Kluyveromyces lactis: one gene and its partner. The protein of the gene in region 1 interacts with the protein of each later gene in a biochemical or structural test. Links are inferred from orthologs where the notes say so. Each region holds a gene or a part of one and is shown in the gene's direction. Other genes may lie near its edges.

Region 1 (2,384 bases):
TGGATACTGCCATCAATTCTGCCATGGAAAAGGAAAGGGAAAAGAAGGCTAATCAATACTCAGTCTTATCTTGGTTCTCTAGTTGGATCACTGAAAAGAGCAACAATTTACCCAGTGAAAAAGCTGACCCAAGAAACAGCGATGGTACTATTGACACGGACACAAGGAGCATTGCATCCACTGCGAACCCTGAAAAATCGAGATACGTTAACGAACAAGCTTTCTTATCCTTATCGTGGTGGTTATTAAACCGTGGATACCTACAATACAAGAGTATCATTGAACAATTGGTGAAAGAAGAGTTCCAAAATTCGAACCCAAGAGATATCATGACAATGGATGAGTTCAGTGGCAAGATAAGCAAGATATTCGTCACCACAAACAAGCAATTCTTTCAACAGCCACAATCGAATGAAATGTTCATTTCATGTCTACTTCCTGAACCTAACTTAGAGAGATTTGTTCTTCAACAAACTTTAGAACAAGATGCTTTGAAAGTACTATACGAGGATAATCTATTACTAAAACAACTTGTACAAGAGACCAACAAATGCCTACAATCACCTGGAACATGGATTGTCCTGGAGTCTTTAATCGATGAAACATTCCACACAATCATGGAACAAATCGAGGATAATGTCAACAGCAAATCGAAACCTAAATCGAATGATGACGACACCAAAGTAGTCGATATATCCAAAAATTCATATCAAATCGCATTATTCTCTATCGCCACGAAAGACTGCACAAACGAAATGTTGAAAGCGGGACTCGTATCAATGAACAACAAGTTCCTACAGAAACTACACTCCATCTCGGCACTTGACGATCTCAGTGCATGCGTATATAGTAACTTCGGTCTATGAAAACCTTACTTGGCCCTCCATTCAAGTACTGAAATCGCTCCATACCGTGTATGTAGATAGTTCTATAGTTAACGTTACTCTTTCACTGGCACTACGGGGTTTCTCTTCCTGTTTCTTTAATGGCCACGTGATCATAATTTTCTTTTCCTTAAGGTCAAATAACGAAAAGAATCGAATTCCCAACAGGTTGTCAATCAACATGTTATACATCTCAGTTAATGTTTGCAAGTGGATAGGAGCTTGGTGTTTGTAGTTAGTTAGCACCATAGAGTTACCAAGTGGGTTCTATTTAGTACCAGAAAATCATGTCCAAGGAAAACCAGAACGTTGTTTTAGTGAGTGTTGAGGGAGAGAGATTTGTCGTTGACAGGAAGATCGCTGAACGCTCACTTTTACTAAAGAACTACTTGCAAGATCTTAACAGTGGCGATTTGCATGATGATAACGATGCTGACGATGACGAAGATGATGAAGAGGATGGTGACGATGAAATAGTGATGCCCGTGCCCAATGTGAGGTCGTCAGTATTACAGAAAGTGATCGAATGGGCCGTTCATCACAAGGATTCCAATTTCCCCGATGAAGATGACGACGATTCGAGGAAAGCTGCGCCTGTGGATCCATGGGACCGTGAGTTCTTGAAAGTGGACCAAGAAATGTTATATGAGATTATTCTAGCAGCTAACTATCTAAATATCAAGCCATTGTTGGATGCTGGATGTAAAGTTGTTGCGGAGATGATTAGGGGCAGAACACCTGAAGAAATCAGAAGGACCTTCAATATCGTTAACGATTTCACTCCAGAGGAAGAAGCTGCCATAAGACGTGAAAACGAATGGGCAGAAGACCGTTAAACTTACAAGTTTTCTTGTTGTTTTCTCTTTCTGTATCTACATCCTCTTCAGTTTAAAATAGCAATTTCCCTCATTTCCCGTATGTAATCAATAATTTAAGTACTTGCTTGTTAAGCGGATCTTAATTGAAGTAGTGAATTTGAGTCATGGGCAAACGCAGGGATCGCTTTCATATCGCATTTATAGCTTCAAGGTCTGTCTCTGCACCGATAATTTTTCATTTTTGTACCTATATATAATATTTAAAGAACGCGCTACCTTAAATTGAAACTTTTTGCTTCTGGTTTTATCTATTCAAGGCAGAACTGCATCGATAGATGCACCATAGGACCCTTGTTACTGGTATACTTGGTGTAGGATTGTGATGACGTTGACCATTGGTGAGGAGACCAAATCCAGACTAAGATCGCTAAGCGGGAATACTAGTTCGTTGCTAAATTTAAACAAACGCAAGAAGAAGAACAAGGAAAAGAAAAAGGATAAGGACAAGAGTCAACCAAAGTCTCAGGGCAATACACGTGTGCTACGGTCTACGAGTCTGAAACCCAATGTCAATGATGATGCATCTGCATTATCGTCGAATTCGAGCTATGATAAGGTGTATTTGATGGATGGGAGTGACCATAAAGCAGGATCTGCGAATCATGCCTCTGATAAGAACAAT
Region 2 (3,550 bases), on another chromosome or scaffold:
GGTGACTTGACTCTTTATTTCAATAAGAGAATGAAAACTATTCACGTCAATGTTGCTAACCCATTGGACTGCCGTATTTTGAAGAGTTTGTTCACAGACATCAGGAAACAACGCAATATCAATGAATCTCAATTCGAATATCCTAATTTCAAGGGATACGTTTTCCTCACTTGCACGATAATAGCTGATTTGACTATCAATGGATTGCCATGTAAAAACGTCTGCTCGAAAATCGATGAGATCAAAACCAATGAACAAATCTACGATTTCAGTAACGGCGATGGCATGATGCCAGGTTTATCCTTATACGTTGTAGGGCCCTCACTTTGGCGCTTGGGGGTAAAGAATGAGCATATCATCTTCCTTCCACTAAAATTGAATTGTATCTCAAATTTAAGACAGTTCAATAAGAATTTGCAATTTGTCTGAAAGAAAGTCTTTTTGCGCAGAGTCAGACGTTTTTAATTTTTGACCTATTTCCACTGAATTTTTTTACTGCTTTCCTGAACTGTTACTTATGTAACATCTTCTCACCGTCTCCCATCATTTGCATATTTCATCTCTCATTATCCTCTTAACCTCTTCCTCTTTGTCAGCTCATCTTAGCCAAATTTTTTCAGTGCATCATTCTATTATCTAAAGTTTCATTCTTCAAGCTTTTCGATGTAGGAGTCGCATATTTTCTTTACGGAGTTTGACACATTGGCCAGCTAGTACCAGTCGAATCTGCTCATCTTCTCGTTCACTGCTGTCACAAATCTCATTTTAAAAACGTTTACTTTTTAAGTTGTATTATTTTTGCTTTTACGCGACTCTCGTGATTCGAACGGAGGAGGTTTTTTATTATAGACATTGTTTTTTTTTTTTTAGTATATATGTATTATTGTTCACAGGCTTTTTTTGTGTACTTGTCGCAGCTGGCGACACATATTCGTTAACCAATCATTCAATTATCGAAAAGCTTGGTACTCCATTTTGAATTTGGCTCATTTCAAGTTGTAAAAAAAAATCTTAAATCTCTTTGTAAAACGGTTCATCCTTATGCAGGGGAACTGCTGATCATCTCTGTATTGTTTCAAATTGACCAAATGTCCATAAAACCACGGAGGGTAATATGGACTAGATATTTATTCTTGTGAAATTCGTACTAACCATATCATTCGCTCACGTGACATTCTTATACATTGCCAATCATTTGTAAGCTACTGATGAATTAATACAAATGCTACCTTAGCCTCAGGAAACGCTTGTTAACTTTTGCACACGGAATGCAACAACGCACTCAATTGATGAAAACAGCACTAATATAACAGCACAAATGCTCGAACAGCTTCCGAACGAAATATGGCTTGAGATACTGGGATATTTATCTCAAATCGAAAAATCATCCTTGATGATGGTATCTCACCAACTTTACGATAAAACAGTGGCGTCACTCTACCAAAACCTATATTTGAACGAAAGACCAATTATACACATCCCAGAATATCCTTATTTTGGCAACAACTGGTCTACGCTTGTGTTTTCTGAAGCAGGGCGATCATCAGTTAAGTTTCAAGCGCTATTCAATACTCTAAGCAAGAACGTTGAACTTTGCAAGCTAATAAATAAGATACACTGTACTTGGCATTTAAATCGGAATTTATTGACAAGGTTTACCGGGCTCATATGTGAACATGCGACAAATATTACTTATTTTGAGAACTTTCTATATATCGAAACATTCGAAACGATCTCCAAGTCTCAGCTTGCATCGCAGTTAAAATCCTTAGACATAGTCCCGCATGCAAAACTTCCGGGGCCTGCATATGCTTCGTACTTGACTAGCATAACATCTATGGCAAACAAATTTAATTGGGCCAATATCAAGAGCCTTACAATATACTTTGATGCACTCATGTGGTTCCCAAACTTTGTCCCACTATCGGAAAAGTTACAGTTAACTGAACTATGTTTAAATCTTCGAAATGATTCTTTTCCAGGATTCGAGAGTGCACCAAGAACATCAAAATTTAGTGATTTATTTGATGTGAATACTTTGGAAAAGCTTTCCATTTTGTCGTGGTACGAGACGGAAACGTTGGATGTATACGAAGAGTATGGTTTGTTCGATCTTTCTAACTTTAAAAACCTCAAAGAGATTTCGTTGTTGTCTATATTTTACAACGAAAACTTCCTATTATCCTTGTTTTCTAACCTCACTAGATTGGAACAACTGAAGTTAGACTTTATGTTTGATCACGTCTTATCTAAAGACATCCTTACCATTTTATCTGGCATCAAGACGTTGAAATACATAGATTGTAAATTTGACGACTTGGATGAACCTATTCTTGACGTAATTGAACTAGACGACTTTGCAATATTTGAACTCAATCAAATGTGCCTATGCGATAGTTGCAAGCATGTTTACAGTGACATTATTCTCAAAAAATATTTCCCTACCAAACAGGCTTTCATGATTCAAAACTCGAGTGATATTCATTCTAAACATTTCATCAACCATATCTTTAAACTCTACCCAATAATCCCTTATTTCCATTTACTAACAACGTCCCCCTGCATTGCATACAGATCAAAGTCAATTGAAGAACTCGCTAAGAAGAGTAACGAGCTTCTAAATGACCTGTTTTACGAATATGAATCTGACACTACTGATACTAAAATAACTCCGGAAGATATCGTTTCTTTGTATCATTGTATATGTCATTCAATGAGGAGAACTTTCGACTTCTTTCTAAAACTCTTCCCCAGGTTACATATACTGGTTATCAACGATATGCCAACTATCGTTGATGAACAGGATGAACAAAAATTTACGAAGCCAATATTTTATTCATCTGGTTACGAAAGTAATCAAGTATACCAAGTCATTAACGATGAAACACTATTTGATTAAAGAAAGAGATGATAAACTCAACATAGCACATGACACATAGACTCCAATTTCGTACAAACTGTACAAACCATAAACTTTTATACTCTTGCGGTATAAAGCATCTGACTATTATCCAGATTTTTGAGATATTGTGTATACAGATTGTTTAAAAAATGTAAACAAACGGATTTGATTCAATCGAGATGAGACGTAGTTGCGGGAAAAATGATCGTTTTAAACAAAAGAGAGACGACACCAGCTGCCAAAATGGAGTCACCATCCAAAATCCCCCTCCAAGAACTTTCTAGTAATGCGTCTCCACCTTCGTCAGCCAGTGGAGAAATTTTCAAACGTCTTTCAGTATCACCTAATAGAAATCGTAAACTCCTGGAGAAGCCTGCTGCCAGGTTATCACCACAACAAAGAGTTCAAACCCCAAAGAGGTTGCCTTCACCTGATATACTTGGGCCCAATTTAAGCCTTGATAGATACGAGCGTCAGAAATCCAGTGTTGTGAAGATAAACGAAATAGTTTTCCCAAATTCGCCTACAAAGGCATCTGGAGCGTTAAGGAATGTACCAGTCCTTGGAGGTGACGGGTCACTATCGAGGATAAGAAACAGATTCAAGATCAACAACGCGAGTCCGGTGAAAGCGAATCTACTTGACAAG

Evidence for each region. The genes of interacting proteins can lie anywhere in the genome.
Region 2: the proteins of SKP1 (region 1) and KLLA0_F19943g form a complex in vitro, tested with the Saccharomyces cerevisiae proteins (2 studies listed by BioGRID). The link is inferred for Kluyveromyces lactis from reciprocal best matches to the Saccharomyces cerevisiae genes SKP1 and YDR131C.

Annotation. Positions count from the first base shown.
Region 1 is NC_006041.1:1,507,221-1,509,604, reverse strand, and holds SKP1 (SCF ubiquitin ligase subunit SKP1), read left to right. Parts: upstream 1-1,171; coding exon 1,172-1,720; downstream 1,721-2,384. Other genes in the region: PEX3 (Pex3p), read left to right, coding at 1-866; YSP2 (Ysp2p), read left to right, coding at 2,085-2,384.
Region 2 is NC_006042.1:1,856,273-1,859,822, reverse strand, and holds KLLA0_F19943g (uncharacterized protein), read left to right. Parts: upstream 1-1,318; coding exon 1,319-2,899; downstream 2,900-3,550. Other genes in the region: KLLA0_F19965g (uncharacterized protein), read left to right, coding at 1-429; FIN1 (Fin1p), read left to right, coding at 3,104-3,550. UniProt on the Saccharomyces cerevisiae protein: Substrate recognition component of a SCF (SKP1-CUL1-F-box protein) E3 ubiquitin-protein ligase complex which mediates the ubiquitination and subsequent proteasomal degradation of target proteins. Probably recognizes and binds to phosphorylated target proteins.